2 linked regions of the Ovis aries genome follow. The protein of the gene in region 2 purifies or fractionates together with the protein of the main gene of each other region. This does not show direct contact. Links are inferred from orthologs where the notes say so. Each region holds a gene or a part of one and is shown on either strand. Other genes may lie near its edges. The genes, in order: USP5 and MAF.

The links.
Region 1: the proteins of MAF (region 2) and USP5 purify together in Homo sapiens (affinity purification with western blotting; 3 studies listed by BioGRID, with this or other methods). This does not show direct contact. The link is inferred for Ovis aries from reciprocal best matches to the Homo sapiens genes MAF and USP5.

Annotation. Positions count from the first base shown.
Region 1 is NC_056056.1:209,427,048-209,430,847, forward strand, and holds part of USP5 (ubiquitin carboxyl-terminal hydrolase 5), read right to left. Parts: intron 3,311-3,800; coding exon 3,239-3,310; intron 2,974-3,238; coding exon 2,886-2,973; intron 2,754-2,885; coding exon 2,628-2,753; intron 2,113-2,627; exon of another isoform or gene 2,040-2,112; intron 1,773-2,039; coding exon 1,619-1,772; intron 1,307-1,618; coding exon 1,132-1,306; intron 510-1,131; coding exon 421-509; intron 1-420. UniProt on the Homo sapiens protein: Deubiquitinating enzyme that participates in a wide range of cellular processes by specifically cleaving isopeptide bonds between ubiquitin and substrate proteins or ubiquitin itself.
Region 2 is NC_056067.1:6,019,386-6,023,869, forward strand, and holds the start of MAF (transcription factor Maf), read right to left. Parts: upstream 2,992-4,484; 5' UTR 2,108-2,991; coding exon 968-2,107; 3' UTR 1-967.

The sequences.
Region 1 (3,800 bases), on a different chromosome or scaffold from region 2:
ACTATTTCAAGATTATCAGAATGAAAACATCTTACCAACTGTATAAAACTATGAAAACCACTTTTGCTTGTGTAAGTCATAACTATAAAATCAAAGAAGTCTTAAACATCAATGTCCTACTGTATAGCACAGCACACTGTACTCAATATCCTATGATAAATCATAACAAAAAATTTAAAAAGGAATATATATGTATTTAATATAACTGAATAGCTTTGCTCTATAGCAGTAATTAACACCATGTTGTAAGTCAATGATACTTCAATTAAAAAACGTAGTTAAAATTTTTTTTTAAATCAAAGTCTTAATAATGTTTCCCCTTTCAGAGGAAAGCTGAAGAAGCACTAGTTTACATGTCAAGGCCCCTTCTTTTTCTAGCATTTTCTGCGTAACCTCCCTTGCTCGTCCCGGCAACCATACCCAGTTTCTTGGGCACCCAGTCCAAGCCAAAGGTGAACTTCTTGATCTGGATGACCAGGTAGTCAGGGAATGAGGCAAATCGTGTGGTCCTAGAGAAGAGAGAATGGCCTGGTACCCAGAGAAGCTGTCCTGAAAGCCCCACCCGGGTCCAGCCTCATAGGTAGAAGAACTAACCACACTAAAGATAATTTCATATTCCTTTCCTGCCCTGGACAGGCATCAAGAGTGTCTGCAGACGAACAGTAGCAGAAGGTAGGAAGTAGGGGAATGGGGGTTCTTAGGGGCAGGAGCAGCAAAGGGGCAGGTGGCTGAAATCTCGGAGACCAAAGCACTTTCTCAGATCTCAAGTTTACGCCAGTGACGGGTGAGCAAAAAGTAAGACTATGTGCTAAAAATCTCAGTTCTGTCCACCACTGTTCCTAAGTGCCCATGCTCTGCCAGCCCTGGGGAAGTGAGCAGACAGAGGCTTCCTGAAAAGTGACCCCATCCACCCCAAGAGAGGAAAAAGACTGGCAGGGGCAGGTCAAGGTAACATGTAGCAGTTATCCAAGTCCACTCCTGCCAGGCCCTCTCGGTTCCCCTCAGGCCCCAGGTTACCTGCCTCAGCTGATGGAAGCCTGAGTTCTGACCACAAAGGGATGAGAGGATGCAAAAGAGGCTGACAGCATCTCGGGGAGGACCCTGACGGAGGCCGGGACCCATAGGACTTACTTGACAGCGACTGACTTGGCCTGCAGGGCTGTGCTCCAGAAGTCGTCCACCTGCTCGGGGGCGCTGTAGGCCTCCAGGCAGGAGCTGAAGGGCACCTGGGCCCGAACCAGCTCAGGCAGAGGCAGCTTCTCCTCTTCAGCTTGCCGCTTCTTCTCCTCATACTCTAGAAGCTCCTCTGGTGACAGAAGCAAGTGGGTGGACCCTTCAGAGGGGCCGAGCCACATCCCCGCTCATCCCTGGCCTACTGCCTCTGAGTCCACGGCTATCTCAGCTCCTCTGCTTCCCCAAACCCACCAGACACACGTCTGCCTGTAACCTGGCCTCTTTCTCAGCACGGCTCAGCTGACCAGCTGTGCGCAAGGTTAATCCCACACCCTGGCCTGGTTGGTAAGCAGGGATACTGTGGGCTCTGCTCCTGAAAGGCACCCAAGCCCCATCGCTGCCAGGCTTCAGACCCCAGGCCCCGGGAGGGTAGCAGAGCACCCACCTTTGTTCATGGCCGCATCCATGGGCACGGGCAGCTGCATAATGTAGTCCACTCGCTGGGTGTACTTCACCTTCTCTGTGGCCAGGCACTTGATCTTTTCCTCCACCAGGAAGCGGAACACTTCGTTAGGATTTTCAGAGCTCCGGCAATTCCTCTATGGGGAAGAGGCAGGGTGGGGAGGTCTGGACAGCCAAGCACTGGGGTGGGGGCCTACAAGAGTCACTGGGGAGTCAGGGAGAGAAGGGAGTGGAAGGGAGAGGGGCACAAAGAGGTGCAGGGATGGGAGACCAGAGCAGAAACCTTCCCTCATCAACCCGCCAGTTCCGGCCCATCCTGGCACTGCAGGACTGCGTGGGAAAGTGCCTGTACTTTCTTTTTTGAATGTGGACCTCCTTTTGAAAAAAAGTCTTTATTGGGGACTTCCCTGGTGGTCCAGTGGCTAAGACTCAGCATTCCCAATGCAGGGGGCCCAGGTTCGATCCCTGGCTGGGGAACTGGATACCACTTGTGGAAACGAATAAGAGTTCACATGCCACAATGAAAGATCAAAGATCCCCTGTGCTGCAACTAAGACCAGCACAGCCAAGTCAATAAATATTAAAAAAGAAAAAAGGTATTTATTGAATTTGTTACAGTATTGCTTGTTTCTGGTTTCTTGGCCTGGAGGATCCTAGGTTCCCAACCAGGGATTGATACTGCACCCGCCTGTGCTGGAAGGCGAAGTCTCAACCACTGAACCACCAGGGAAGTCCCCTGTACTTTCTTTCTAAGCACTAAGCACTCGCCTATCATTTTCTTTGGGAGCATCCTTCATCAGGCTGTATGCATAACAAGTGTCCTCAAGTGCAAACGCCACTCTCAGGAAAGGCTCAGTGCTTGGGGTCACTGGGGTGGGGCTGGGCTGGGGCTGACAGAGGAGGAGGAACAGGTGAGCAGCGGGAAGAAGGGAGTGAACTGAAGTGCAGGTAGACAGGAGGAGAATGAATACCCCCACCTTCCCTGTCCTCACCTCCACCATGTTGATAAGGTGCAGGAAGAACTCTTGGGCATCCTGCTGCCGGTTGGTGGAGAACTCGGGGTGACCCTTGCCAATGAGGGCCTTGAACATCCGAGGGGCAATGCCATCTTGGACTTCCTAGGCAGAGTTGGGGCAGCCATTCAGCCGGGGCCCGAGAGGCCACCAAGTGGCCTTCTTTAGACGCCTCCCACATGGATCTCAGTTTCCCCACCATTCCACAGCCTGAGAAGGATGGAGGTCCAGACCCACCTTCTGCTCCATTACCTGCTCCCCATCACCCGACTCTGGTGCTGGCTTGGAATACTCCCCCGAGAGCAGGCCGTGGCCCAGCTTGGCCCTGTGTCATCACCCAAGAGAACCATTTAGCTTCCGTCTGACACCACCAATCTAGCCCTTACCTCCCCAACTTGACCCCTGCTCAAACCCCCTTAGACAACTCTCTTAAATGTGAACCACCTTAGATTCCATGGGAACCCAACTCAAGGCAGACAGCATGCTTGCAAGATAGCAACTGGAAAGTGTCTAGCTGGCCAGAGGCTACACTGTTGCTCACTTCAGGGGGTCATGGAAGAGAAAGAGGGCACACAGGCCCGGCTACGTACACCTGGGTGCTGAAGTCCTGGGTGGGGTCCGTTGGGGCGTTCTGGAAGATCTTTTCCAGCTTATCCACGTACCTGAGCCAAGGGAAGGATCACTGAAGGGGCTGCGGCCAGGCCCAGAGGAAAAGGGAAGGGAGCATTCATCTACCAGTTCAGGGAACAGGTCCCTCCAAAGTGGGGAGACATGTGTTTGACACTTGGGGTCCACGTCTTTCCAGCAATTCACCTTCCCTCCCCTTCCCAAACAGGTGAGCATGCAGGGTACACAAGCCTCTGCCCCAAGACGGAGCTACAGGATGGTAGAAGACACTCAGGAGGATAAATACAGTTCATGTTCTTTGAATAGAACGTGTCGATATGTTCTAAATTTTCACGTGTGTCTCAGGCCTTCCTATTTAGACAGGATGCTCACTTCCCTAACCCTAACTTGCCTTTCTTCTGTCTCCATGTCCCAGCCCTCCCCTCTCCCCCATCAGGTGCTCATCTGATGTCACTGGCCCAAAATAAAGAGTACCTGTTGGCCCTTGAGTACATCAGGAGGCCTGGAAGAGCCCTGGGACTGAGC
Region 2 (4,484 bases):
GGCTTTTTTTTTTTTATTAATATAATGTCTCTTTTCCATAAAGTCTTTGAAACAGTTATAGTTCATTGTTGCTAAGACAAAGTAGCAAGCATAATAATGCATGAGATGAGAATGAGTTGTTTTTTTTTTTTTTTTAAATGGCAGACTAAACTCTCAGATTTGGCATCATAAGGACCAAAACTCACGAGTCACACCCAGAAGGTTGATGCAGGCTTGATTGTGGCAGGTTCATGAGGATTTTTTTCCCTCTATTTTAGCATAACAATGCTCAAAAAACCCCGATGGAACTCAGCACGCTGCAAGTCTATAACATTTCACATTTTTTTTTCCTTTGCAAGCTCAATCTCATATGAAGAACTCAGGAGGAGAAAAAAACTTAGCCTTTTTTTTTTCTTTTATCTCAAAAGAGATGGGTGGCAAGGGGGTGAGGGTGGAGGATGGGGGGGTGGTGAGTTAGGGGCAACACAGCAAGCTCCAAAAACTCAAAGTTCTTTAAAAAAAAAATCCAAACAAAATAAAACACACACACACAGAAAATGAACACCAGCTCATGAACTGAAGAAAAAAAAATACGTGAATGATGCAGGCTTCAAAGGTGAGCATGAGGAACTCTGTTGAGATCTTTGAACATTGAGCAAGTGAAAGGGGTGGGGGGGGGGATGTTAAAAAAAAAAAAGCCAGCAAGTTATGGAGAATTTCAGATTGGCAATCCATGAGCCAGACCACCAGCCCCTCCCCGACTCAAAAACAGCCGCCACCACCACCATCATCTCGGAGCAGTGTGTGTGTGTGTGTGTGTGTGCGCGCGTGTGTGTGTGCGCGTGCAGGGGGCAACTGGGGGGGGCAAGTTGGGGAGGGGAGGGGGCGAGGTGGTGGCGAGCAAGGCGCTTGGAGCTGCAAGCCCACACCCGAGTCGGACCCCCACGGAGCGCGTAGCAAGGGGGCGAGCTGGGGCCGCGTGTCAGACTCACATGAAAAACTCGGGAGAGGACGGGTTGTCGCTGCTCGAGCCGTTTTCTCGGAAGCCGCTGCTCACCAGCTTCTCGTACTTCTCCTTGTACGCGTCCCTCTCGCGCACCAGCCTGGAGATCTCCTGCTTGAGGTGGTCGACCTGCTGCAGCAGCTGGTTCTTCTCGGACTCCAGGACGTGCCTCTGCTGCACCCGCTTGAAGCGGCAGGACTGGGCATAGCCGCGGTTTTTCAGGGTCCGCCTTTTCTGCTTCAGCCGAATCACCTCCTCCTTGCTGACCCCGCGCAGCTGCCGGTTCAGCTCGCGCACCGACATGGTCACCAGCTGCTCGTCGGAGAAGCGGTCGTCGAAGTGCAGGCCGCCGGCCGCGGCGTGATGAGGGTGCAGGGCGCCCCCCGCCCCCGCCGCGCCCCCGCCGCCGCCGCCGCCGCCCCCGCCGCCGCCGCCGCCCCCGGCGCTGGCCGGGCCGCCCGAGCCGCCGCCCGAGCCGCCCGCGCCCCCGGCCGAGGCGGACGCGCTGCCCGCGGCGCCCGGCGCGCCGGCCGTCGGGTGGTGGTGGTGGCCGGCGGCGTGGTGGTGGTGGTGGTGGTGGTGGTAATGCGGCGCCGCGCCGCTCTGCGCGGCGGCCGCGGCGATCACGGCGGACACCACGGCGGCGGCGGGGCCCATCTCCTCGCCGCTGCCGCCCAGGGAGGCGCCGGCGCCGGCCCCGGCCGCCGAGCCCAGCTGCTGCGCCCCGCGCGCGTAGCCATCGAAGCCGCCCTGGAGCTGGTGGCTGTTGCTGATGAGCGCCTCGACCGCGTCCTCGGGGCTGAAGCCCAGCGCCTCGGGGTTCAGCTGCTGCGGGTAGCCGGTCATCCAGTAGTAATCTTCCAGGTGCGCCTTCTGCTCGCTGCCTGAGCCCGGGCTGGGCGCCGAGAAGCTGGGCGAAGGCGGCACCGAGCTGCACGGCGTGCTCATGGGGGTGGAGGACAGTGAGCCCCCGGCGATGAGACGGCCGCACTGGCTGATGATGCGGTCGGTCTCCACCGGCTCCTTTTTCACTTCAAACTTCATCAGATCGAAGTCATTAACATATTCCATGGCCAGGGGACTGGTGGGCAGGTCGGAGTTGCTCATTGCCAGTTCCGATGCCATTCTCCTGCCGCCGCCGCCGCCGCCGCCGCCGCCGCCGCTCCGCCAGATGGGCTGCAGGAGAGGGGCCAGCGGGCTGTGCTGGGTGGCCAGCGGGTGAGCCAGCTTGCCGGGCTGGGGCGCTTCTAGCTTGCGCGGCGGTGGCTGGCCCGAAACCTCCGAGCGCGCACACACACACACACACACACCCCCGCCGCCCTGCCCGCGCCCCCCGCGCCCGCCCTCCCTCCCCCCCGCCCCGGCTCACGCCAATGTGCTCGCTCGCTCGCCCCGGCCCCTCCTCGCCTGCTCGCCTCCTAGCGCGCCGAGTCGGCGGCTTCAGGCTCGGGAAGGTCCTCCGCGGGCTGCGGTGGCGGTGGCGGCGGCGGCGGCGAAGCCGGAGGAGCCCGGCTGGGTGCGCGGCGTCCCCCGCTCGCCGCTCCGCTGCGCGCTTTGCATAAGGAGGGCTCGGCTCGGCTTGCTGGCCCCGGCTGCAGGCGGGGCGCGCGCGGCTGCCGTTCGGGGCTGCAGGCGCGGCGGGCGGCTGTCCGGGCGGCGCAGGCCTTGGCACCGGGGAGTTAACACTTCATGCTTCTCGCCTCCTCTTCTGCCTGGCTCTTTTTTAATTTAAAAAAAAATTTTTTTTTTCTCTCCTCTCGCTCAACCTCGCGCTCTTCCTCCCTCCGTGCAAAGTGCAAGACAGAGGTGCAGCCGGGCTGGAGGAAAGGGGGGGGGGGGAGTTGAGTTCTTTCTTGCTTTTTTTTTTTTCTTTTAAAGCGAAATAGCGAAGTCCTGGGGAAAAGGCGAGGCGCAGAGCAAAAGAGGGGAGACCGCGCAGACGAGCAGCCGGAGCTATACGGCTCGAAGATGAAAAAAAAAAGATTTTAAAGCCTCTGATCCAGCAAGAAGAGTTTAAAGCTATTGCTGAGTTTTATAGCACTCGTGACGTCAGGCCCAAATGGGAAATTGACTGGTACTCCGGACCAATGGGAGGCAGCGGGAGCGCCCGCGATTAGCATAGGAGTCGAGAAACAAGGAAACTTTTCCGAGCTGTCAATCAGGGCCCAATCAGCTGACTGTCAGCTGGGACGGGCAGTCTTAACCCTTCCCAAGCCGCAGCCTCCGCGCGAGGTTGCAAAGACCAGAGCAAAGTTTGGTGCAAGAGGGGACGGAGTTTTCCGGAGGGGCTGCGGGAACCCGGGTGGACAGCGAGGACGGTTTGCTTTACTTCGGAGCTAGAGAGGCCTGCCTTCCGGAGCCCCAGCTCGCCTGCCACTCGCTCGGCCACGGTTGGCCTGCTCCCCGCCAACTCCTTCCTGACCGCCCCCCCCACCCCCGACACACACCCCCGCAAGGATCGTGAATTCGCCTGGCAGCTTTTTCTCCTTGCTCCACCTTAGGGCACCCAGGTTTCCGCCCGGGGGGAACCTTCCTTCCCCGGTGCCTGGCAATGCCCCGAGCGCAAACTTGGCCCCAACTCTTTGTCCCTCTCCCCGGTGCCCGCGCGCACCCGCGCGCGTGGGGGCGCAGGGGTCCCCACTGCGCGCTTGACCTCGCCCGGCCGCGCGCTTGCCAGGGCGGCTCCAAGTCCGCGGAGAGAGAGAGCCCGTTTTATCAGCCTCTTTTAAAGGATTTGAAATGAGTTGCTCAGGGGCCATTCCGCGCGGGGGCTGGCTGCCCGCTGGCTTCTCCCGTCCTTGGCTGGGGGGTGCGAACGCGAATTAACTCCGGGAAAGCTCGGTGTCAGGTCAGCCCGGCTCCTCACCCTCGGGCCTCTGACTCTGGCCCGAGTCTGGCCTTTGAGGCTCACTTCTCTTTCTCACACACACACGCACATACTCATCCACCCCCTTATGAAACCTGACTCCTGTTTATCAGGGTCCTGCGCGCCCTTTGCACTTTTACATTTCGCTTAATTATTTCAGACTTGATCGTGGGGAGGAACGGGGGCGAAAAAAGAACCAATAGCCCAGCCTTCACCAGCTCCCCTCGAAGGGTTAAGTTTTAAACCGCGGTTTCTGGGACGGGTCCGGAAACCCAGAGTGGGGGATGGGGAGGACGGGAGTAGGGGCTGCTTCTCCCCCTTGGGGGTGTTGCAGATGCTAATAACTAACTGTTCAGTTTTCTCGATCGATTCTTCTAAATCTTTGCAAAAAAAAAAAAAAGAAAAAGAAAGAAAAGAAAAAGGAAGGAAAAAAAAAAAAAGAAAGAAAGAACCAGCAACTCTGTTTCTAAGATTTTAAAGCGATAGGCCAGATGGAGAAGCCGAGATTTATTTGAGGGAAAGCAAGAGGGCGCGGAGCCGACCCAGCGTTTGGAAGACCAGCCTGCCTGCCTGGATGTTGGACTGTTGATTCCTCCAATTAATGAAATGCACTTGGTGTTAATCATATTTATCTTA